7 linked regions of the Cricetulus griseus genome follow. The protein of the gene in region 4 interacts with the protein of the main gene of each other region in a pairwise test. Links are inferred from orthologs where the notes say so. Each region holds a gene or a part of one and is shown on either strand. Other genes may lie near its edges.

The links.
Region 1: the proteins of Card9 (region 4) and Tle5 interact in binary tests that used the Homo sapiens proteins (3 or more experiments, as listed by UniProt). The two-hybrid records come from large-scale screens. The link is inferred for Cricetulus griseus from reciprocal best matches to the Homo sapiens genes CARD9 and TLE5.
Region 2: the proteins of Card9 (region 4) and Fam161a interact in binary tests that used the Homo sapiens proteins (3 or more experiments, as listed by UniProt). The two-hybrid records come from large-scale screens. The link is inferred for Cricetulus griseus from reciprocal best matches to the Homo sapiens genes CARD9 and FAM161A.
Region 3: the proteins of Card9 (region 4) and Mfap1 interact in binary tests that used the Homo sapiens proteins (3 or more experiments, as listed by UniProt). The two-hybrid records come from large-scale screens. The link is inferred for Cricetulus griseus from reciprocal best matches to the Homo sapiens genes CARD9 and MFAP1.
Region 5: the proteins of Card9 (region 4) and dual specificity protein phosphatase 13 interact in binary tests that used the Homo sapiens proteins (3 or more experiments, as listed by UniProt). The two-hybrid records come from large-scale screens. The link is inferred for Cricetulus griseus from reciprocal best matches to the Homo sapiens genes CARD9 and DUSP13B.
Region 6: the proteins of Card9 (region 4) and Meox2 interact in binary tests that used the Homo sapiens proteins (3 or more experiments, as listed by UniProt). The two-hybrid records come from large-scale screens. The link is inferred for Cricetulus griseus from reciprocal best matches to the Homo sapiens genes CARD9 and MEOX2.
Region 7: the proteins of Card9 (region 4) and Ssx2ip interact in binary tests that used the Homo sapiens proteins (3 or more experiments, as listed by UniProt). The two-hybrid records come from large-scale screens. The link is inferred for Cricetulus griseus from reciprocal best matches to the Homo sapiens genes CARD9 and SSX2IP.

Annotation. Positions count from the first base shown.
Region 1 is NC_048598.1:102,312,835-102,314,987, reverse strand, and holds part of Tle5 (TLE family member 5), read right to left. Parts: intron 784-2,153; coding exon 720-783; intron 234-719; coding exon 189-233; intron 1-188. UniProt on the Homo sapiens protein: Transcriptional corepressor. Acts as a dominant repressor towards other family members. Inhibits NF-kappa-B-regulated gene expression. May be required for the initiation and maintenance of the differentiated state.
Region 2 is NW_023276807.1:83,744,674-83,748,173, forward strand, and holds part of Fam161a (protein FAM161A), read right to left. Parts: intron 1,906-3,500; coding exon 757-1,905; intron 403-756; coding exon 235-402; exon of another isoform or gene 1-234. UniProt on the Homo sapiens protein: Involved in ciliogenesis.
Region 3 is NC_048599.1:56,944,767-56,948,266, reverse strand, and holds part of Mfap1 (microfibrillar-associated protein 1), read right to left. Parts: coding exon 3,392-3,500; intron 2,786-3,391; coding exon 2,598-2,785; intron 1-2,597. UniProt on the Homo sapiens protein: Involved in pre-mRNA splicing as a component of the spliceosome.
Region 4 is NC_048599.1:137,744,308-137,747,807, forward strand, and holds part of Card9 (caspase recruitment domain-containing protein 9), read right to left. Parts: coding exon 3,472-3,500; intron 3,027-3,471; coding exon 2,889-3,026; intron 2,693-2,888; exon of another isoform or gene 2,117-2,692; coding exon 1,812-2,116; intron 1,734-1,811; coding exon 1,554-1,733; coding exon of another isoform or gene 1,470-1,553; coding exon 1,326-1,469; intron 1,000-1,325; coding exon 874-999; intron 1-873. UniProt on the Homo sapiens protein: Adapter protein that plays a key role in innate immune response against fungi by forming signaling complexes downstream of C-type lectin receptors.
Region 5 is NW_023276807.1:199,229,323-199,233,253, reverse strand, and holds the start of dual specificity protein phosphatase 13, read right to left. Parts: upstream 2,801-3,931; 5' UTR 2,402-2,800; coding exon 2,315-2,401; intron 1,422-2,314; coding exon 1,227-1,421; intron 1-1,226. UniProt on the Homo sapiens protein: Dual specificity phosphatase that dephosphorylates MAPK8/JNK and MAPK14/p38, but not MAPK1/ERK2, in vitro. Exhibits intrinsic phosphatase activity towards both phospho-seryl/threonyl and -tyrosyl residues, with similar specific activities in vitro.
Region 6 is NC_048598.1:164,594,808-164,599,103, forward strand, and holds the start of Meox2 (homeobox protein MOX-2), read right to left. Parts: upstream 2,801-4,296; coding exon 2,287-2,800; intron 1-2,286. UniProt on the Homo sapiens protein: Mesodermal transcription factor that plays a key role in somitogenesis and somitogenesis and limb muscle differentiation. Required during limb development for normal appendicular muscle formation and for the normal regulation of myogenic genes.
Region 7 is NW_023276806.1:12,740,447-12,743,946, forward strand, and holds part of Ssx2ip (afadin- and alpha-actinin-binding protein), read right to left. Parts: intron 3,174-3,500; coding exon 3,098-3,173; intron 3,022-3,097; coding exon 2,841-3,021; intron 1-2,840. UniProt on the Homo sapiens protein: Belongs to an adhesion system, which plays a role in the organization of homotypic, interneuronal and heterotypic cell-cell adherens junctions (AJs).

The sequences.
Region 1 (2,153 bases), on a different chromosome or scaffold from region 4:
CTCAGTACCTGGGGGGACACTTGGAGGGGATGGGGACAGGGGCTAAGGCCATGCCTGTGGGCCACTGTGGCCCACCAAAAAGGGCTAAGGCATATGTGGGAATACCTCTGGGGCTAACAGGAGTGGCCTTAATTTTCCGTAATGAGTCACAGGGCGCGAGGTGTTGGAGGAGGGAAACTGAGGCTCACCTGTTTATGCATCTCAATGTTCAATCCATAAGACATCTCGTAGTACTGTGGGTGGAGAGAAGGTGTGTCATGGATCAAAGAGGTGTGGCCTTCTGGCTGGCCTGACTCTCTCTGCGTATCCCAGCATTCCTGTGCACCCCCATCCAGTGAGCTACTATTTGTTCTTCAAGACCCCTGCCAGAATGCCCTAAGACCCCCAACAACCTCCCCTGCATGGAATTACAGGTCCTGTGACGGTTGGGAGGGCTCTGGTCATGGAAGGGTTAAGGAATGCCTAGCCGGATGGCCTGGAGGGAGGAGGACTGGAGGTGGCTTCCCCCTTGCTTCCTTCCGGATGGCTGGCTGAATGTGGCTGGCTTCCATAGCCGCCTCCTCCTCCTGCAGCCAAGGACAGCAGGGTCCTGGCAGGCCCAGGATGCGAGCCAGTGGTTTGGCACCTAGGCCACTACCTGGGCTGGCAGCCAGGCCACCCTTGGCTGTGGGGAGTCTGGGGTCACCCACCCCAGCCCCGGGTCCCCAGGGGAACTTTACCATGACGTAATGCCGCTGCATCTCTGATTTCTCACTGGCCAGCTTGTCGCACTCCAGCTTCAGGCTGAGGACACACAAGGGAAGCTGAGGCCCCCTGGCCCGCCTTCTGGTGGGTCAAGCTAAAACCTTTTTGGTTTGTGTTTTTGAGACAGGGTCTTATGTAGTCCAGGCTAGCTTTCTACTCACTGAGGAACTAAGGATGACCCTGAACTCCTGATCCTCTGACCTCAGCCTCCTGCTTGGTAGGTGGCCAGCCTAGAGATGCTGACTGAGAGTGGCCAGACACCACAAATGGCTGCATTTAAGGACACCCCTGGGCTTTCTGCAATCCTGGGCAGGTAGGCAGGGTTGCCTCAATGTCCCCCACGGTGAAATTATGACAGCATTCTCAATGATGTAACAACCTCTGAGGCAGAGGTGCCTTTGTGAGCAACTGATGAGGCCTGCAGAACTCACCCTCCATCTTAACATGTGACTCAGTGAGCACCAGACAGGGTGAGTGAGCAGTTTAAGGTCACACAGCCTGCAGTAACCAAAGACTCAAACCTGGGAATTCTCCACACAGAGACAGATGTTAGTTAGACTGAGGCAGCCCAGGGCTAAGGGTGACAGAGCGGGACAGGCCCCCAAAGGGTCCTGGTGTCAGGAACCTTCTTCACAGCGAGCCCTGATGTGTTCCCTAGTGGTATCTCATGCTGTGATTCTAAGCCAGCTGCTCTACCTCTGGGCCCCAGTTGCTTCTTCTTCTTTGAAGTGGTGGTAAGGAGTCAGCATTGTCAAAGGGTCTTTGGCTCCCTAACACAGGCCCTGAGGCCACCAGGCCTGGAAACCCATGAGGAGGAAGGGAAGAGAGGACCCCCAAAGCTGTTCTCTGAACTTCACACTGCATTGTGGCATGCCCCCCCCCCATAAAAGCAGTAAGAAATATTTCTTCTTAAATCCAGAAAACAAACAAGCAAAAAAACAGAAACAAAAACATTTTAGAACATGGGAGTGTGAAACAGGAGGATAACCATGAGTTCTACCCTATCTAAAAAATAAAAATCCCTGCATTCAGAGGCAGAGGCAAGCAGATCTCTGTGAGTTTGAGGCCAGCCAGGGATACACAGAGAAACCCTGTTTCTAAAAACCAAACCAAACCAAAACAACAACAAAACCAAAAACAAATAAAAGGAAGAAAATAAATAAATAAATAAATAAATAAAAAGCAGCTGCAGGCATCTCAGACTGTTACTGGACCAGGATCCCACCCTGGCTAGTTTAGCCTGCTTGCACAGCCGACCCTGTTCTCACAAACTGAGTATCAAGGTGAATGGGAACCACCAGGGCTCAGCTGCTCAAGCGACTTCGGCTCAAACACAAGCCCCAGAGTTCGAATCCCAGCTCCAGACTCGGGATGCCAGGGCTTGTGTTACCTGGGGAAACTCGGTCGGG
Region 2 (3,500 bases), on a different chromosome or scaffold from region 4:
TGTATGAAAAGTTGAGTAAAAACAAAAATTATTTAAATACATAAATACATAAAGCTGCCACACCATTTTCATATCTAGGTATTCACTGGCTAAAAAGGAAGGAAGGAAAAGCAAGGAAAGGGAAGGGAAGGGAAGGGGAGAGGAGAGGAGGGGAAGAGAGGGGAGGGGAGGGGAGGGAAGAGAAGAGGCTGAGTTTGGAAGTCAACGTTTTCGTTCAGGACTCTCCCGAGATACCTGAGCTGGTTTACTCTGGATTTAGACATCTGGGCTAAGCCCTGATGTGAGTCATAAGCCTTAACCCGGGTTGCCACGAGTTTCTGCAATTCTTTCATTCTTTGCTTCTGTTTAGTTAGGATCCGATTTCTCTCTTCTTCCAACATTTTCTTTTCCTCAAGTGATTTCCTGAGGGCAACAAACTAAGGCTTAATTCCCTTTAAGCCAAGGAGAAAGTTGTCCAGCAAAGGTTTAACCTGGGATAACTCAGAGGCTGAGAAAAAAAGGCAACCTTTTGACCAAAATCTGACTCATGTCATTGGAAATCCAAGAGACACTGATGGTATAAACTTGTCTATGCCCAGGAAACACAGAAATCACATTCGTTTCTTAGGAGAGCATTCCTAGCAAATGATATCCTACCGTATTGTACAATACCTTACAGAGAAGTCAGCAATTTCAGATTTACCAAGCTAAAACCCCCCAGGGCTGTATATGCCAGCACAGTGACCACATGTCAGACAGCGCACACCCAGGGCTTACCTGATGGCTTGTTCCCGCCCTCGGGAAGACAGGGTAGGCATCGGAGGGCTGCACCGGCAAGGCCTGGGCTTTGTGCATGCACTTCTTACTGGTGACTTAAGCCTTGGAGATGGATGAGGCCAGAGTATTTCTTTTAGATTTTCTTCATCTGCTCTAAGGTCTGCCAAGACCTTCTGTCTTTTAGCAGAGTCACAAGAGTATTCATGAAGACCACACTGTTTACAAAGAGTTGAGTGTTTCTGAAAACTGGGTTCTGAGGAGGACTCCTTCCATTGTTTCTCAGCAAAATTTCCATCATCAGGGCACAGGCACTTGCACTTGTGTCTACCCCTTGGCTTTCCAGGACTTCGGGGGACCCTGAAATGTCCCTGGCCCTGCCTACAAGGCCAGGACGAATTCTGCAGCAGTTCTCGGGCCTTCAGCTGCGTCCTGATGTCCCTATAGAACTCGTCATCTTTTGACTTGTCATTTGCAGCTGACCTGTAAATTGAACGAGGCACAGGTCTGGCTTTAAACCACTTCGTCTTCCTTTTAGACTTAAAAAGGTCTCTCAGCTGCTTTTCACGGATTGCTTGCTTCTCTTCCTCCCTGGCAATGAACTTAAATGGCTTCTGGGAGGCCAGGAGCGCGGCTTTGCTCTTCTCCTTGGAGGTCCTCCTCCGCTCTTCATTCTGCCTGACCATATCCTCATAAAATGGTTGCAGTATGCAGGAGGGGGCAGGATTGGCTCGGAATTTCTTCTTACACTCCACATCGTCATCGTCATCCCTCTTGAGCAGTTTCTGTCGACTCTGGGGATCTGGCCTTGCTTTCTGGGCAGCCTCTCTCTTCTTCTGCTCTCTAACTGTCATCTGAAAGGGCACAGGCACCGTCACTCTGGGCACCCAGGGTTTTTGTTTCTTCCTTGTTTTCTTAGATGTTTGGACGTCAGAGTCATACTGCATATAATCTTCTACAGAAAAGTCAGTCCACATGTTGTTGATGAGCTCCTTGGCGTAGGCTGTCATTCTGCTTTCCCCGGGGGCCTCTCTCTCCAGGCTGGGCAGCTCCTCGTCAGAAGTAGTGGACAGGGAGGGCGACTGGCCTATGTCAGGCTCTGAATACGATGTCACTAAGCCAGGGTGAGGGCAGTTCTGTTCCGATACAGAACTAAGGAAGAAGAAGAAGAAGAAGAAGAAGAAGAAGAAGAAGAAGAAGAAGAAGAAGAAGAAGAAGAAGAAGAAGAAAAATTAGGGCACACTTTCAATTTTATACAGCCAAATAGTAGGATTAAAGTAATTACAGATTTTCTAAGATGAACGGATAACCAGCTGTATAAGAGAGTAGCTGTATAAGGATCATGAAAATTATCGTTTGTATTTAGAATAGAGCTGAGAGAGGATATGACTTATCTAAGCAACTCACTTTCCAGAGAAGGGAGCTGAGGCGCCAGCTGCTCCCCATGCCTCACTTCTACTTATCCCAGAGTCACCATCTTGAATGTGTCTGACCACGTCACTCCTACCTGAAGCATTCCTCTTTGCTCTAAGTCTGAACTGACAATCAGTCAGGACTAGCCTGCTGCTCCCCCCTTCCCTCCCCTAGCCACCGTTCTTAGAGTCCTTTCCCACCGTGCCTGGTACACACAGTTGCTTCTGTCTCGAAGACTACTCCTTGCTTCCTATATCTGCTATTCCTATTCCTCTACCAAGTTTGAACTGAGTTGGGCATGCAAGTGCATGCTAATGGAGGCCAAGACTGGAAGGATATGGAGTTCAAGACCAGCCTCAGTGAGAGCCTGTTGAACATGCATTCAGGGTTTGATCTCCAGCATGGTTTGGAAACAAAATTGAACTTATGGATGACATTCTTGTTGAAAAATGCTTTCCTGCCTCCCACCAGCAACTGAGCATGACCAGCTGCTCCTGTTTCTGAGGCACTGGAGTGTCATGTTGTACCACCACCTCTCTGGGTGTCAGATCTTAGATAGGCCTGGCACACAGGAGATGCACAGATAGCTAACCAACCGGATTAGGTAAATGATCAGCTTACAGTTTCAAAAAAAAGCAAGTTCACAGGAGAGATGAACCTTGAAACTAGATTGATTAAAAAAAAAAAAAAAAAAAAGGAACTAAAAACTTGTATCTTAAAACTTGTAGCTCATGTTAACCTATTCTTAAAATTAAACTTTAATTTTCATTAAGAAGGCCCACCTGGTTGGGCATGGTGGTGGATGCCTTTATTCCCAGCATTCAGGAGGCAGAGGTAGACGAATTTCTGTGAGTTTGAGGCCAGCCTGGTCTACAGAGCAAGTTCCAGGACAGCCAGGGCTACACGGAGAGACTTGATCTTAAACAACAAAAGGCCCAGCTCAAACAAGCATGGCTTTGTACAACAGAAGTTCTAGCGTCTGGGAGGTGGAGGTGGGGGTGGGGGGTAGGTAGGAGTTCAAGGCTATCCTTGGTCACACTGCAAGTTTGAGGCCAATCTGGGCTCTATGAGACTCTGTCTCAAAAGGAGAGAGAAAAAAATGGGCATGCTGGCTCATGCTTGTAACCTCAGTGCTTGTGAAGCTGAGGCAGGAGGACTGCTGAAAGTTGAGGTCATAAGGGAATATGGTAAGTTCTAAGACCCATCCTGGACTATATATAGTAAAGATCATGTTTCAAAAATAAAAAAAAGAGTAAATAAGCAAAGCAGCCCAGACTAAATATTTTGCTACATATCTGTAAGCATAAGTAAAGCGAGAAAATACAGGTGAAGGA
Region 3 (3,500 bases), about 81 Mb from region 4:
AATCTACCAACTGAGCTGTTATTTCTTTTTCTTTTTAATTTATTTATTATGTATACAGTGTTCTGCCCAGGCCAGAAGAGGACACCAGGTAGAATTACAAATGGTTGTGTGTCACCATGTGGTTGCTGGGAATAGAACTCAGGATCTCTGGAAGAGCAGCCAGTGCTCTTAACCTCTGAGCCATCTCTCCAGCCCCCTGAGCTTTATTTCTATCCCTAAATACAGCATGACTTTTTTTCCCTCTTCTGGTAATAGGATTTGAACCCTGGATTTGATACAAGAGGCAAATGCTTTACTACTTAGTCGTATCTTCTGCTGTTTTATTTTATTATCATTATTACAAAAAAAAAAATAGCAGGGCAGTGGTGGCACACGCCTTTAATCCCAGCACTTGGGAGGCAGAGGCAGGCGGATCTCTGTGAGTTCCAGGCCAGCCCGGTCTCCAGAGTAGACTCCAAAGCTACACAGAGAAACCCTGTCTCGAAAAACCAAAAAAAAAAAAAAAACCACAAAAAACTATGAGGCTATCCTGGTCTATGATACATGTTCCAGGACAGCTAGGACTACATAGAGAAAACCCTGTCTCAATTACCCTCTCCCATACAAAAAAAAAAAAAAAAAACTTTAAAAAATTTCATGTACACCTTTAATCTGCACTTAGGAGGCAGAGACAGGTGGATCTCAGTGAGTTTGAGGCCAGCCTGGTCTACAAAGCAAATTACAGGACAGTAAGGACTGTTACACACAGAAGCTGTCTTGAAACCACGTCCCCCCCCAAAAAAAAACCAAAAAACCAAAAAAACAAAAAAAAAAAAACCCAAAACACAAAAAACATGTGTTTGGATGCCTTGTCTACATGCATGTCTGTATACTGAGTTATCTGCCTGATATCCATAGAGGCCAGAACCTCTTCTGGTTCTGAAACCCATGAAATTGGAGTCACATACAGTTATGAGTCACTGTATGGCTCTTGGATATTGAACCCAGGTCTTTTAGAAGAGCAGCAAGAACTATTAATCTCTCTTTTTTCGAGACAAAGTTTCTATGGCTATCCTGGAACTCACTCTGTAGACCAGGCTGGCCTTAAACTCATAGAGATCCACCTGCCTCTGCCTCCCAAGTGCTGGGATTACAGGCGTGCGCCACCACTGCCTAACAGAACTATTAATCTCTGAGCCATCTCTCCATATTAATATTTTGAGTGTACTATGTATAGGAATGTATGGTATGTGTACATGATGGTGAAGCTCAGAGGACTTTTGGGAATTGCTTTTCTCCTTCACCATATGGGAACTGGAGATTAAGCTAGCTTCATCTCAGGTCTTTACAGCATCAAACTTCCCTTAATCATTTATCACTGACTCCAATAGGATTTAACAAGAATCCTATTGGGCTGACTGTAAAATAGGATTCCTAAGCATTAGGAAATAAAGAAATTTGTTTTATAAGCTTAATTTTGTGTTTAAAACATGATTTTCCCTGGCAATGTGTTAAAGCACTTTCCTAGCATATGCATGGGCTTCATCTCTAGTATCACTAAATCAAAAACAAAACCTCAACAAAAATTGATTTTGTAAGCCCAGCACTTAAGATTCTGAGGCAAGAGGATCACAAGTCTGAGACAGTCTAGGCCTCACAGTGAATCAGGCAGCATAGCCAGAGCATCTCAAAACACAAACATAGACACACCCGGATTACCTTTATGTTTCAGGATTATGTGATCACACCATGAACCATGAGATTGTGTTATTTAAATAAAATCAACCATAGGTCAAGAACAAGCAACTAGTTGACTGGAAGTAACCATAGAGAGTGAGGGAAAGTTGGGAGGTTGGAGAGAAAGGCACAAGAAGTAGAAGGGAGGGACATCCAGTTGGAGGAATTTTTGTTTCAGACAGGATAGGGGAAAAACAGAGAAGGAAGCAGCTGGGTGCTTTCTCTGCCTCTCTGAGCAAGTGGGTTTTCACTCCAGCATCTGGCTCCCAAGTCTTTACTGATAAAATAGAACGATAGAGACTTGGTTAAAAACAACACCTTTTGTTGCAGATCTGCAAACATCTGGCTTCTTCTCAGCACTTTTGCTATAGGGATAGGGCACTGGAAAGAAGACTTCCTTTACAGGAAAAAGTGGGATTCAGAACCTTTTATTGTCAGACTGGAACTTAATCATGTGGATTCTGTCCTTTTTTAAAAAATTTATTATTTATTATGTATACAGTGTTCTGCCTGCATGTATCCCTGCAGGCCAGAGGAGGGCATCGGATCTCATTACAGATGGTTGTAAACCACCTTGTGGTTGCTGGGAATTGAACTCAGGACCTCTGGAAGAGCAGCCAGTGCACTTAACCTCTGAGCCATATCTCCAGCCTGATTCTGTCCTGGTTTGACTAATTGTTCCCTTTTCCTCTGCTGGGGATTGAACCTAGGCCCTTGTGCATACTAAGCAAGCATTTATCACTGACCAATATCCCTAGTCTCCTTTGTGAGAATTAGCTAATTTTGTAGCTCAGAGTGGCCTTGAACTAGCAATCCTCTTACCTCAGTCTACTGAGTGGCTGGGAACACAGCCTGGCTTAGCAGGTGTGGCAGACACTTACTTTCTAATGAAGACAGGCTTAAGTCGAGGCTCCATTTCATCTTCACTGTCTGTGTACTCCTCATATTCAGACTCTGACTCCGACTCCTCCCCAGAGCGCCCTTCATCTTCTAATTCCATGACTTCCATCTCTTCATTTTTCCTCTCCTGTGCTCGCTGACGCATCATGCCACGGCGCCGCTCTATTTCCTATATCAAGGCATACAGCTTAGCCAGTTATTCAAATGGCCTGTGCGTCAAGCTTGTTTTCTTGGTGATAATGACCAAATTCAGGGCTTTGTGCATAGCAAGTCTAGTCCTACTACTGAGCCCTCAGCATAGCTTTGATTTTGTCTTCAACAGGTTCAAGAAATTTTGACACGGTTAAGCATAATTCAGCATGATTTCATCTTCAGTCTTTATTTTTACTTACTTACTTAATTAATTAATTTATTTATTTGCTTTTTCGAGACAAGGTTTCTCTGTGGCTTTGGAGGCTGTCCTGGAACTAGCTCTTATAGACCAGGCTGGTCTCGAATTCACAGAAAAGTGTCTCTGAATGGACATTTGTTTGAAAGGCTTATTCATCATGGTCAAAGAGATCTGCCTGCCTCTGCCTCATTAGTACTGGGGGTTAAAGGTGTGTGCCACCACTGCCTGGCCTCATTTTCAGTTTCAACCCCAACAAACAGGAATCACAATCAGAGTTCAGACAGAAGTAGCAAATTTTGTACATTTATAGCCTCAACAAATCAGCACTGTTCTCAATTTTTTTCTTGTATCCTGGGGGAAAGAATTCCATATTATTCCTTTTACCTCATCATCAATTTCTTCCTCTTCTTCTTCGCTGCTATCTTCTCGTTCCATGCGCCAGGCATCTCCTTCTACTTCTGAATCACTTTCTCCTACCACTTCAGGTTCTACT
Region 4 (3,500 bases):
TCTGTGAGTTGGAGGCCAGCCTGGTCTACAAAGTGAGTTCCAGGACAGCCAAGATGACACAGAGAAACACTGTCTCAAAAAAACAAAAAACAAACAAAGAACATGATTGATGGCTGTTCTTAAAATGAATACCATGCTTCTTCTTTTGTTTCCTGGGAGACAGTTTCATTCATTTCCCAAACTGGCCTAAAATTTACTATGTATCTGAGGATGGCCTTGAATTTTTGATCCTCCTGACTCTACCTCCAAAGCCTGGAATTACAGGCATGTGCCACCAAAGTTGGCTCAGTTGCTACTACTTTTTGTTGTTTTTGGTTTTTTGAGACCGGGTCTACCATTGTAGCCCAAACTGGCTTGGAACTCACTGTGTAATCCAGGCTGGCCTTGAATTCACAGTAGTTATTTTGTTTCAACCTCCAAATGCTGGGAGTACAGGTATGAGCTACCACTACTACTACTGCTGCCTATTCCAGGGGGTTACCACCAGCTCTTCTACCCAATACTGTGGCCTCCACCTCCCACCTGTGTAGCTAGCAACTTCCTCTCCTCTATTGAAGTTTCCAACCCTGACCTTCCCCTAACCAGCACAGGCGCCACTGGGACTCCCCTGCTACACTGGCCCTTCCTGTGAGAGAGGCAGATGTTCCTGTCTTTGTACAAGAGGCTCCAGGTTCTATCTTTCAACATTGCCAAGTTACCTCAGGCATAAATAGATAGGTAGGTAGGTAGATAGATAGATAGATAGATAGATAGATAGATAGATAGATAGATAGATAGATAAAGTAATGAGTTGACCACAGCTTCAAAAGCCTCTACACCGGCACCCAAACACTCCTCTCATTCTCATCTTCTGAACACAAATGCAACACCTACCTGGTCCCGCTCAATGGAGACTTCCTCCATCTGCTGCAGGATAGCCTCGATCCGGTCCTTGTACATCTTGGCATCCTTACGCAAGGCCAGGCACTGCAGCTCGAACATCTCCCTTTCCTCCACGCACTACAGGAAGCACCACTCAGCCTCACCCACTCTCCACTGCTCACCTGGCCCTGGGCTGGACTCAGGCAACACCTTCAGAGCACTCAAGATCGGGCTAGCCGGGATGATGGGAAGGGCACTGCAGTCCCAGGCCACAGCAGGCTTGCCTGGTCTGAGACCATGGCCTCAGCCACCACCGATCACACGGTAAACTGAAAGGATGACCCTAGCTGTGGACATGACACCACTGTGCACCAGGAATTGGTGAAGGGGAGACAGTGAGTTACATTCCAGACCCTGCCTTCCAGATACCCAGTGGGTACTGCTTGCCTGCCCTGCCCTCTCACCCGGGTCCGGAGGGCCTCAGCTTGGCGGAGGTCCTTGCGTAGGGAGAAGATGGTGTTGGCCTGCTCTTGGTGCTCCTGCAGTGCCTGGCGCCAGTCCTCCTGCAGCACTTGAATGTAGGGGCTGTTCCTGTCTAGCTTGCCCTCCTGGAGGTGGCAAAGGGCAACAAGCCTGGCCATTGCAGTTGTACCATCTGGTGTGCCCCTGGTGTGCACTGCTGGTAGCCCTACCTGTACAGAGACCTCCAGCTCCTGCACCCGGGCCTGCAGCAAGTCCTTTTCCTGCTGCAGCTCCCACATCAGCTCCTGGCTGGGCCGCTGCTCCATAGCATGCCTGAGCTTCAGGGTGTGTTTTCGCTCCACCTTGCAATCATCCTCTGCCTTCATGAGGCTGTGCCTGAGCCGGTCCACCTGTGGGTGGTCCAGTCAGCAGCAGCCTCCTCCAGACACCCCCACCCCCACCCCCCTGCTGGTGGGACAAGCGATCACCTCGAGCTGCAGGTCCCGGTTCCGCATGAGCGCTGAGCCCTTCTCTTCACTCAGATGTGCTAGGCGCATGGCCAGGTCATAGTTCTCATCCTTGCAGCGCTTCAGCTCTCGGCTGCTCAGCTCACACTCTTCCTTGAGCCGCTGCACACGCTCCTGGTGCTTGCGCAGGAGGCTGTCCTTTACCCGAAGCTCCTTGATGAAGTCGTCCTTGGAGCTCAGAAGTGCCGTCAGGTCCTGAACCTTCTTCTGCAGCTTCATGACCTCTGTCATCAGCAGCTGCGTCAGGCCTGACTCCCCTGATGCATCTGGGGACCATGCAGTGTCAGATGGAGCCTGTGGCTGTCACCTGCAGACCCTGTGCTTGTCCTTGTCCAGAAGTATGTGCTTGAAGACCAGCAGTTTGAGGGGCAGAGGGAGCACTACTGGTCTTCCACAGAGAGAAAGCTGGTGGGAAGGCTCCCTGGGGACTGTTCACCAGGCCCAGTCTGCCTTGCTGCCCCTCACATATGAACTGACTGAGATTCTAACTTATCACATGCCAGGACTCCAGCTGGCCCTCTCTCTCTCTCTCTCTCTCTCTCTCTCTTTTTCTCTCTCTTTTCCCTGAGAAAAGGTCTCACTATGTAGTCCAGGGTGGCCTCTAACTCAGAGATCTGCCTGCTTCTCCCTGGGATTAAAGGTGTGTGCCAGCATGCCTGGCCCTCTGTCTACCTTTATAAAGATCTTTATGAGATGAATGATAGGGATGTGGACTGATAGGGATGTGGCTATTCCATCAGTTCACCTCTGTCCCCTCTAGAAACTGTGGGATTCTGTCCTTAGGTGGTAACTGGGCCCCATGGAATTAATACTTTATAGAGGGGTCACCTCTTCTTAGTGGATGTTCTTAGGATGGGAGTAGGAAAGGCAGAGAAGGGAGCCCTGACCCTGAGCACCTGAGAGTAGTCACTGGTACCACTACTCTGATATGTACCACAGGGCTTGTATTAGACTCATTCATTCTGATGTAATCACAGAAGCCAGGACCTGGTGGCACCTGACTGCACTCACAGCACCCACCCACTCTGTGCCTCTCACCAATGATCATGGAGAAGACTCGTGCTGGCTCCTTGCCCGTGACTTTCCTGTATAATTGAGGGTAATAGAGTTCCAGACTCTCAAGGAAGGCTACATAGCCCTTGTGGCCTGTCCGCTGCAGGATGTCCAGTAGCACACCTACAGATGGAAGAGACAGAGTTGAGGCCAAGGTCTGGGTATGTAGAAGCTCTGGGGCCCAGGTGGGACAGTGGATGACTGCTCTGAGTAGAGGTGCCAAGCTGTGGACCCCCAGCCCTCGTTTCTGGGCCCTTCCTAGCAGAGGGATCTGGGGCATTGCATAAGGCACCCTGCAGGTCTCAGTCAAGGCAGAGTAAGGTGCTGCCTTCACTCTTGTGGCTCTCTCACAGCCTGAACAATGGTAGGAACTCCCCTTCCCTCCTCTGGGTAGCAGCAGGTAGGCATGATGAGAGGAGAGAAGGCTCTCATGCATACATCCTAGGTGTAGATGGAGCTGGGTGGGGACAAGGCCAGGGCGGCACAGCATGTAGCAGCCTCTGGCCAGGTGTCTGTGGGGACCATGAGGGACTAGGGACAGCCCTGCTGGTGTGGGAGCAGCCCTCACCCACTTTCCGCTTGCGAATGACCAGGTTG
Region 5 (3,931 bases), on a different chromosome or scaffold from region 4:
GGCATACTGGAAGCTCTGAGGGTTTGTCTGTGATGTGTAGCATGAGTGTATTTGGCTAGCTGGGCAGGGAAAAGAAAAAATATCAAGCAAACAATCTTAAAATTTTCCTTTAGATCTGGGTGGTTGTGGCACATGCCTTTAATCCCAGCAGTCAGGAGGCAGAGGCAAGAAGAGCTCTGTGAGTTCAAGGACAGCCTGGTCTGCAGAATGTTCTAGGCCAGCCAGGACTACAGAGTGAGACCCTTTCTAAAAAACAAAACAAAATATACATAAAACAAAACAAAACAAAACAAAACAAAACACACCTCCCTTCAGGGCTGAGAGGTGTTGCTCAGTGCTAACGCACTTAGCTAGTATGGTTGAAGCCCTGAGTTCCATCCCATCGATGCACAAAACAGACAGACAGACAAACAGTCTCCTCCCTCCCCCAAACTCCTTTGGCTTCCAAAGGTTAGTCAGAGCAAGGGTAGAAGTCACGAGTCAAAAGGCTGTATGCCGGAGGACAGAGATGAAATAACTCAAGGCACATGCATACTGGTGCCAGGCAAACATCAGTGTATAGTCCTAGAAGCCTCTATTTGGGTGTGACTAGCTCAGAAGTAAGATCTGGCAGATTCAGTCGAGGTATCACAGACAGACAAAGGTGTAAGGGGATTACAGAGCAGGTGTGTGTGGTCAGGGGTTTTATCTAGGAGCAGCTCTCCTCTTCACTGCCCTCTCCCTCCCTCAAAGACAGGGATGCCCAAGGGGTATGCCTAGTGAGGGTTCACTAGATTTGACATTAAAAACCACTCCTTTGGGGGCTGGAGAGATGCTCAGTGGTTAAGAGCACTGTTTGTTCTTCCAGAGGGCCCAGGTTCAATTCCCAGCACCCACATGGCAGCTCACAACTATTTGTAACTCCAGTTCCAGTGGATCTGACACCTTCACACCAATGCACATAAAATAAAGTTAAATAATTATTTTTAAAAACCTTTCCTTTTAATCCAGATGCTCTAGCCATACACACCCATACCATAATAATACTAACACACACACACACACACACACACACACACACACACACACACACACACACACACACAGGAGCTAAGACTCAGCCACTGAGCTCTCCTTGAGCATCAAGGAGAGATGGGGAGATCATTGAGAGTCATCCTCACTAGCCCCATCAGGGAACCTGGGGAAAGCTGTCACATGACCTCAGCTGACAGACAGCGCACTCCCACCTGTGGAGACTGAAGACAGCGGCTGAGAGGGTGTGCGGAAGGCTGGAGGAAGTTGATGAAGCAGCAGGCTTGTAGGTGAGCCCCACACCGGGCCCTTTTCCTCTTCGGTGCATCCACCTGTACTAAGGCTGCCATCAGGGCCAGGGCCAGAGTAGCAAACTGGCAGAGCCTGGTGGCTGAGAGTAAGGACTGGCTCTGGAGAAGAGAAAACCTTCATGTTACAGATAAACAAAGGTCTAGGCTGGCTGCGACATGTCAGGACAGGAGCTAGAGCTATTACCTAGCCTGCTTCAAGATCAAGTGGATACAGGTACCAGGAGAAATGATGAGAGTAGGTTTGACATCAAGGGCTAACAGAGGGAGATGGTCTCTTTGCACAGCCATCTCACCCCAGGGCCTCAGCTGTGGAGTTGCTCGGGACAGTTGTACAGTCTGTGTGCTGCAAATCTCTGGAGGCTCTCATGACACACACAGACAACTTTGTAGATGTCATTTCCACAAATTGGGCAATGGTGCAGCCCTGCTCAACCAACTTCCCCCAGACCAGCTGTCTGATGGGCAAGATGCTGAGGTCAGAGGCCAGGGTGTCTGAGACTCCAGGCTAAGGAAGTGGAGTGGTTGGACATGATGCAAAATCTGCTGCTCTGCCTTGTTTCCCATTCCTGTCTAGAGGAGAAAGAGCAGGCAGTGAGCTTGCTGCCTACACAGGTTACTAACACCAGTGCATTTCAGAGGAAGTGTGTGACAGCTGGCTCTGCTGCTGTCTGGCTCACAATCATCCGTTATGAGATCTGGTGCCCTCTTCTGGTGTGCAGATATACATGGAAGCAGAATGTTGTATGCATAATAAATAAATAAAATCTTTAAAAAAAAATTGAGGGGTGGGGGAAAAGAATACAGGTGAGAGGATGGCTTGCCAGGTACTGGATGGGTAAGGGGAACCCACCAGCTTGGGAAAGGGAGTGAGTCCTCACTTTCAGCCACACACAGCCCTGCCAACCAGCTTCATCTCAGGCTCCATTGTCCAGGCCCTCAGCTGATTTCTCACTGCCAGCCACATTCAGCTTTGTCTCCTTGCCCTTCCTTACCTGGCTCCTTAGCTCTGGCCTGCACCCCGAAGTTGCTGGTCCAGCCGGCAGAGCTGGCGGAGGAAGCCACGATTGGGGAATATCCATCGGCGCTCCTTCACAGTGATCACTGCCTGCTGCAAGGATAGCTGCTGGTGCAGCATGAGGTAAGCCAAGACCAGGGTGGCAGAGCGGCTCACACCCACCACACAGTGCACTAGCACCTTAGCTGAAGAAGACATTCAAGTGATTGACTCCTTCCCACCAGCCAGCCAACCCTAAGAATGGGGCCCAAACCCAAATTCCATTCCCGAATCTGTCTGGGGTATATTATGGGAACCTGTGCAAGTCCCTCAGCCTTTATGGGCCTCAGTTTCCTGATATTTCAAATGCATAGACTAATGTCTGTCTTGAACTACAGTCCCAACCCTCAACATGACTTACAAAAGCCTTTGAGGCTAGGTGGTGGTGCATGCCTTTAGTCCCTGTACCCAGGAGGCAGAGGCAGGCGGCAGACAGATCTCTGAGTTCGAGGCTAGCCTGCTCTACAGAGATTATTCAGGGACAGCCAGGGCTACACAGAAAAAACAAACAAAACAAAACAAACAAAAAAACCCAGAGGTCTCGAAAAAATAAAAAAATAAAAATAAAAACAAGCCTCTGAGGACTAGAGATAGTGACCACGCACCTCCCCTCAATCAGAACCTACTCCAAACCTCAGCTTTGCAAACCACAGGTAGACTTTCAGTGCCTTGGAGCTGTCACAGCCTCTGGCCTTTTCTCTAATCTTGGTCTGACTGGCCTTTGCTCATCCATCAAGTCACATCAGCTTTCCTCACCACTCAAGGTATCACTTGAATCACCAAGCGATTAGTCCTTGCATGACCTAGGGAAACTGCTGTAGAGGGAAATCCCCAACACAGTGGTCCTCTGGATTGGGCGTTTACATAGCTCTGCACATTTGCCCTCTAGTATCAGTAACATATCAGGATTTGTCACTGTTTGATCAGCAGGTTCTACAAGAGTCGGGGCCTTGACTTACTTAAGTCTGACTTCCTAGATTTTAGTTCTGTCCCTGACACAGGATGAATAATGACTAAGCGATGGATAAACAGATGCAGAAAAAAAGAATGTCAAAGTGCGTTGGCTATTACAAAGCAACATGAACCTTGACAAATCCCTCATCACAAAAAAATGAGGAAACAGAAACCCAGAAGACACTGGCTTGCCCAGGGTAACAGAGAAAATGGGCATGGCTGTTTTCCCAAGATGAACATACAGTAAGGACCTCAAGGCCTCTCAAGGCCTGTTGTATCCTGGGTGTTTTGTTTTGTTCATTTGGAGGTACTTTAGGGCAGATCTCTGGGTACCATGTGGTCCTTCCCCAGGGCTGCCTGTTGCAGAGTAAGAATTGTTCTGATGTTTGTGAGACCTGGCTTCCAGCTACATGGCTGCTCGTAATTCATTATGGCCTTGCAATTTGGTCTCACTTTCTCCATCTGTTTTTGTTTTTTGTTTTTTTTTTTTGTTTTTTGTTTTTTGAGATAGGGTTTTCTGTGTTGCCCTGGCTATCCTAGAACTCACTCTGTAAATCAGGATGGCCTCCAAATTGCAGAGATCCACTTGCCTCTGCCTCCC
Region 6 (4,296 bases), on a different chromosome or scaffold from region 4:
GGCTTATGCGTTGATAAAAGAACAGTATTATAACTATTTTCTATGTTACTTTATCCTCTAGTAAGTCAAAATGTTTACACAAGAGTATCAGATGACTTGATCTTCAGTTGAATGTTCACTGAAAAAGGCGATAGATGGCTTGGAGTTAAACTTACCTATGATCTAATCGATGTTAACTCAGAGATTGAACATATAGATTTTATTTTCAAAGTGTACCAAGACAACTGATGCTTGCCTGTGATGGCCTATCAATGGAAACATTCTTTCTACGTTGGTCCCCATGATAGTATCCTTGCTAATGATCATACTTCCCGTTCTTGTCAAGCGTTACTACACCCCCGGTTGACACAAATTTCTATTCTGTTTGCTTGTTTCTATGTTCTAAAATGAGATTCACAACATGAAAACAAGCTTCCCTTTGCTGTGTGGTTATTTTCCATCGGTAAATGTGATGGAAACGACTGTTAGTCAATTTTAAGTCGGTTTTTATGAAAATAACTTAAGGATGTAAATTTTTTAGTCCTACTCTCCATTTCTGCAACTAAAAATAACTGTGGCCCAACAAAAACTCCTTCGAGTGCATAAATAATCTTTAGGGCATTGATTCAGCTAAGAAGCTGGCCATGGTTTCCCCTTGCAGAAAGAAAAAGTGCTTCTGGCTCTTGCTGTGGTAGCTACCAACCTGCTGAGGCCATCCAAGCACTCCAGTTCATAAATGCCCAGCCTGGGGAACCCCAGTGCATTCTAACGTTTTCACTGGTATCTTTTCAATAGCTTAGAATTTCCTATGTAGTTAAAGATAACCACTGCAAATCAATGACAGTGCTGGTAAATTGCTTAGACACAGCTAATCATTGTGGAGCATTAAAAAGTCATCCCCGACCTAGGAAAATAAAAGTTCAACCATCAGGTTGGTAAGGGTCACCCCACAAGGAGGCCAAGAAAAGTTTCTGTCATTTTTCAACATGATTTAAAATACACAGCAGTTACTGCCATACACTGCAGAACACCTGGACTAAATTGCCTAACATGCTACATTCTTTTCCATTATTTCCAATGCCCAGATTCACATTTCCTAAATCTCCATAGACTAACACAAAAGATTAAATAGATGCAAACTTTTTTTTTTTTTAGTTAAGTGACATCTTCCAAAGTATGTACCCAGGTTGCCATGTTCCTTCAGAGCAAGATGCAATTAAAAAGGAGGAGGAGGAGGGGATGAAGAAGGAGAAGAAAAAGAGAAACATCTTAATAATGAGAACTATAGCTAAGGGCGTTATGTGCTGTCTAGAAACTCAGTTTCTCTGAACTGCCACAATGCACTTGCTACTGAACTTTCAGGCCCTGGAAACCACTGGGGAGAAACCTTTGCTTTAGCTGCTCAAGTAATCCACACTTTCGCTGTTCACTCTGCTGCATCTTCTCCCACCACTGTCCGAGCTGCTCTTGTGCTCTCCGGAGCATCTCAAAACTCTACTCAAACAAGGAAGGCTTTTACTTTCCACTTTCGAAGTTCAGGGATTTTTTTGTTTGTTTTGTTTTTGTTTGTTTTTTTCCCATAGGATAGCCTCACCTGAGTCTAATCAAGAATGACCTTTCTTCAAATCCTCATCCATTTATTTATTCACGATTTTTAGATGTATTTCTTGAATACTTCTAGATTTCTAGATAGTGCCTTTTTCGGCAAATAAGTTAAATGCTTTTTAAAATTATTACTATTTTAAGTAGAATGCTATTTACGGAACTCTGAAAGCGAAACGTTAAAAAAAGAAAAAAATAAAACTTTTCTTTCGAGTATTTTGTCAAATCCCAGTTAAAGTTCAAGATATTGAGCAATAGTCTAGAAATCCAGTTAAGGATGGGAAAACTCGAGCTGTTCAGAATTGGGAAATTGTAAGGGAAAAACCAAGAAGCGCATGCATGCACACAGGCATGAACGCCCAGCCGATGCAACATCCCAAGGCTCACACCCCTCCCAACTCGTGGATGGAGCGCCATGCTCCTTAACCGATTTCGCATACTGTCACTCGCTCTTTTTTCACCGCCGCTGGAAAACTAGTTTATGGTCTTGTAGGGCTTTGAAGGGGCTGGACGTAGATATATTAACCTCAGCGAAACACGTGCTCCCAAATTACAGGGCCGAAGCTGCAAGGACGAATTCGGCCAGGCCACTGAGACTGGAAGAGCTAGGTATTCCTTAGTTTGTCTGTGAGAACCTTCTCGCAAATCCCTGCCCCTTCCCAGCCCAGGGAACACTCTCCTTAGAGGTGCTCTGCCCGCACTCACCTGAGCTGTCGCTTTTCCTCTTGCTGCCACTTCTCTTTTCTACATCCGCGGGTGACAGCGCTTGGCGGCCATAGTCCCCTGGTGCGCACGCGGCCCCGGTCGGGGTGCTGGAACCCAGACTGGATGAGTTGGAACACAGGACCGGAGGGCTGTTCCCCAGCTCCGGAGGCCCTCCCGAGTCGGGCTGCAGGCACAGGCTGTGCCGAGCCGCGCTAGGCGGGGAGGACATCTGCGGGAGGTGCCAGTTGCTCTGCAGAGCCTGGTGCTGCTGCTGCTGGTGGTGGTGATGGTGGTGATGGTGGTGGTGGTGGTGCCCCCTGTGATGCTGGCTGGCAAACATGCTCTCCTCGTTGGGGTATCCCGCGATTATGCAAGACGAGGAAGATGTGGAGAGTTCGGGGTAGGACATGTGGTCAGATCTTCCATGGAGGGCCAGAGAAGACTGCGAGAAAGGGTGCAAGCCTTGTGCTGTGGCGTGCGGGCTGCGCAGGCAGCCAAAGAGGGGGTGTTCCATGGCATGCAAGTCTGGACTTCCAGGCAGAAGACTTCACGATGGTCCCAAAGGCCACCAAGCTCTGTGACTTTTCACTGGAAATCCTAGAACTCTTTTTTCCCCCCACACTCACACACTCCCTAAGAGTCGCGCCTTTGAGCAGAGCTGGCTAATCCCAGTCCAGAGCCTTAGCGGCCAGTCTCCTGCACATATAAACACTGGGACCTGGAGGAGCTTCCCTCGCAGCTGCTCAGATGTCAAATGTGGGAGAGGTGGAAGCCAAAAGAAGGTGGTCCCAGAGAACTGCTTTCACGGGGGGGAAATGGCTCAGAGAGGTTATAAATAGAGTGTAATGTGAGCTGGGGGCTGGCTTAGGAGCCCAGAGCTGACCACATGCAAACTCTCTCCAAAACTCCCGCTCACTCAGCGCCACCATGCTCTCTCATTTCCAGTTCCCAACTGCTGGCAGGACAGGAGCGGCTGCTCCACGCCCGCCCGGCCCTGGGAGCTTCCACGACAGCCAGTGGAGAGTCCAGAGCCTTAATAAGCAGGGCCACCTCGATCTGTCCCATAGGCTCCCAATGGCCAGGCGCGCACCCACTCTCAGTCTCGCTAAGCCAGCACCAAGTGTCCCGTCCCGAGTCTCTTTCAGCTCTTGGTGGGGGTAGGGGTGGGAGTCACCTGCAGGAGCTCCGGAACTGCTCCCTGACCTTGCGGACCAGGAGAACTTATGAGAATTCAAGAGAAGGGAAAAGGCTAGAGCAGTCTAGCTTTTCAAACTCCGATACTCGCAGTTCCCGCGCCCGGGAGCGCAACATGGTTTTCCCCTTTCAGTTGTCTGAGGATAGGTTGTTAAAGATAAAATAAAATAAAATAAAATAAAATAAAACTGATGCCAGGTTGGAAGTTTCAGGGCTGTGCCCCAATGATAGCATAAAGCTGTTCTAAGTGCGGAAAAGAAAGGTACCTGGTTGAGTGAGGGATGGAAAGCTTGAAGCAGAGATGGACTCAATTTCTGATGCCCTGGCATCACACAAGTGCTGCTCCAACTTGTGTCTCTTTCCTCCTTTTTCAGACCCTCCTCCCACCTCTCTTTACTAGTCCAGCTCGCTCAATTTCCTAACCATTAGCTCACCGAAAGTTTTCCTAGGTCAGTGATAATCTGAAGCAATGTCAAATGAAATGTGCTCCCAGTTTAACTCTTTAGGAGCCAATCGACAGCCCCCTCTAATCCTTCCGGACAAACATTGTCTTTTTCTGTCTGAGGTGCTCTTTTCACCCTTTCTGTTTCTCACCGCTTGTCTGTTGTAAGCAGACACCACACTGAACACTCTCCAGTTCTCTCTGCTAGGACTGTTCAGTTCCCCCAGTTTACAGTCTCCTCCTGGAAAAGAACTACACAACTTGCCACTGGTGGATTTTGGAGAGCTGGGGATAGGCTGGGTTTGACACAGCCACTAGCCTAGGGACTTTACTGTGGGTCCTGTCGTTTACCCACATTCTGAGTGTGCCACTAT
Region 7 (3,500 bases), on a different chromosome or scaffold from region 4:
GACGTCAGCACTGGGGTAGCAGAGGTCAGGTCTAAGCAGACGCTGTGACGTCAGCACTGGGGTAGCAGAGGTCAGGTCTAAGCAGACGCTGTGACGTCAGCACTGGGGTAGCAGAGGTCAGGTCTAAGCAGACACTGTGACATCAGCACTGGGGTAGCAGATCCAGCTAAGCGGAGCGGGTGATTAAGGCTTAGCAGATGGCTCAGTGACTGTTCTTGCCATCATTGGTCTCCAGGAGCTATGGGCCTGTAACCCATTTCAAAGTCTCTTAGACTACAGACTAAGCATCCCTCACCAGACACTTGGGGCCTGAGCACTTGGGATTTAAGATACTTTGGGATTTTACAGTATCTGTCTCTTCTGTCTGTCTGCTTATGTGTATGTGTTAGAAGTATGATATAAGCCTAAACATGAACTCTATTTCAAATGTACCTTGTATGCACAATCTGAAAGTAATTTACTTATGAAATATTTTTGTGTGGCTTGATTCCCGCTGCGCTGTCTTGGGAGATCCAATTTAGAATTTCCCAGCTGCAGCATCATGCTATACTTAAAGCTGCAGCTTGTGGAGCAGGAGGGATTTAATCAGGTGCTACACCCTGATTACAAACCTGGCGGTGGTGGCACACACCTTTAGTCCCAGCACTCGGGAGGCAGGTGGATCTCTGTGAGTTCGAGACCAGCCTGGTCTACAAGAGCTAGTTCCAGGACAGCCTCCAAAGCCACAGAGAAACCCTGTCTCAAAACAAACAAACAAACAAACAAAAAACAAAGAAAAACAAACCAAACCTGCTGTTAACACTGATCAGGTCAGGAGATGGTAAAGGCACCTGCCACCAACCTGGATGACCTGAGTTCAACACCTGGGACCCATCTGATGCAATGGTGGAAGACGACACTGACTTCCACAAGTTGTCCTCTGATCTCCATACCACACCCCCAATAAAGTATATTTTAAAATTTCAAAAACCTTAATAGCCAGGAGTGACTGCACATGCCTGAAATCCCAGTACCAGGAAGGTGAAAGCAGAGAGATTTTTAAGTTCTGGGCTAGCCTAGACTATGCAAGCAAAATCCAGTTTCAAAACAACAAATAATAAAAAAAATTACTACCTGTTTCCCAGATTGAATAAAAATCTACAATCAAAAGACTTATAAAAACAAACAAACAAAACCAAAACCAAACAAGCCAGGAGGTAATGGTACACGCCTTTAATCCCAGCACTCAGGAGGCAGAGGCAGGCGGATCTCTGTGAGTTCGAGGCCAGCCTGGTAGGGTCCAGGACAGCCAGGGTAACACAAAGAAATCCCATCTTGAAAAACCTAAACAAAACCAAACCCATATTTTGGCTATGATACAAGCCAAATACAAGTGAAATCCAAAAGATACCTAGCACCAAGAGTCTAATTATTCTTGCTATTCTGTCCTAAGATTTTCACTGAAAGAATGGTAATATTACCTAAATCTTGAGAAAAAGAAGTAGAAAAATAATCTTTTAACAATAGGAAAAATGCTTTGGACTTCCTTTAGCTTTGAATTGTGAGGAACCACTGGGGATGTCATCACCAGGGATGTCATCACCAGGGACATCACCCCACCTGAAGAAGCAGGAAGGCACTCCTGGTTTCCTTCCCATTTCTGATGACTAGTAAAGTACTGGCCAACCCCGAAGAGACCTCAAAAGTGATATAACCTATGTTGGTCAAAGCTCACAACTGGCTCAAAGTAACAGACTTTGAGAGCAAAGCCAAAGTTTACAGAGGTGTTAAGTCAGAAGCTGTAGAGGAACAGAGTGGTACCCTGTTCTAAAGGAGAACTCTGAGGAGGAAGACCGTATGTTAACATCCAATACCATACATTGCTGTAATATTAGTTGCTGACTCTAATCTTATTGTACTGGCTTAGAAATCAGACTTTCTCAAAGGTATATACACAGGAAGAGCATGACACCTACGATTTGTTCTGGAACTATCTACAGTTCCTGGCATCCACTTTGGGTCACAAAGGATTGTGTCCTGTGTATTAAGGATATTTAAATGGACTTCTCAGATGGCCAATTTAAGAGCCCACAAAATAAATAATCCTTGAACACAGGCTTACAAAATGTACTTTGGTGGCCTGGCTGGCAGTTGACAGACCTTCTATCAAACTGCCATCTTCCAATTTTCACCACTGTGAACTTGGATTCCTACATCAGGCACTTGAGTCAAGAAGGCACTCCTCCGTTTTCTCCATGAGAGCATCTACTCATTGTGGAAGAAGCCACTCCACAGCCACCCTCTTTGTGATGTCTTCTTTGACTGAGCAGCCAACAGCCACCACACTTTGCGCATGTGGTAACCATATCTCTACTTGTCTACCCCTTCCCAAAGTGCTTCTTGAGGGAACTGTCAAAACCTTAGCTTTGTCTTTTCAGGACTTAGAACAATAAAGCTTCAATAAAGGTGTGGACTGAATGTTTCTTTAGTTCCAAAGAGACAACAGGGGTGAAGACCATCACATACGGCACGGTGCCTGAGTGCAGACACAAATCCAATCTGATTCCTGCTGTGTACGCTGTGCTAGCATCTAAGATGGGTAAAATTAAAGTATAGTCAGATTATTGTAACATTTTAAGCCTTATAACACTGAATCATCTCCTCCAGGAGAAATATGAACAAGATGATGCTCATGAAGCACCAGATGGTCATCTCCAGATGCCTTCCAGGATGTGCCTGGAGATGTGCAGGGCAGTTTTCAGCTGTCGTGACTACAGACGGCAGAGCAGAGCCCTCAGGGAGAACCGGGGTTTGCATGGCGTGGGTTAGCCGCTGGGCTGAGGCTGGAGAGGAACACTTACAGCAGTGCCTGTGCCGTCCTCTGCTCTTTCCCTGGGTTTCTTCTTCTGGGGCGAGAGAAGAGAAATCATCTCCTTCTTCATCTGCTGCAGGACCTTCTTCAGCTCAGCGTTCTCCGTTAGGATCTGCTTCTGGCGGCACTCATAGTCATTCAGCAGAAGTTTGTACATTTCATCTTCATTCCTGGGGGAGAAACCACTCGTGTGAGAACACATGGCCACAGCAAACCCAGGCCACATTGCAGGCTACACGTCTGTACCTGGCTTCTGTCTTATCAGTCCTCCACGAGCCTCGTTTTCCATCAGCTCGACCCACATAATTTAAAACGTCCATGGCTACAAATGTAAGCACAAACATAATCAATCTCTACCACATGTTTAAAACCCTATCACACATGAGACACATGAGGGTCTGACTGAAGCTGACCTGGAACACAGGTCAGGGCCCTTCGAATAACCTGGGGTTTGTCAAGCTTCTCCAATGCTAACCTTACTTTTTCCCTGGCCAGAGGGAAGGAGAGACATACCCTCTAGTACTTAAGGATACAGGGATGTACTCACAGAGGGAACACTGTATCTGTATATGGTGTTACTTAAGGATACAGGGATGTACTCACAGAGGGAACACAGTATCTGTACATGACATTACTTAAGGATACAGGG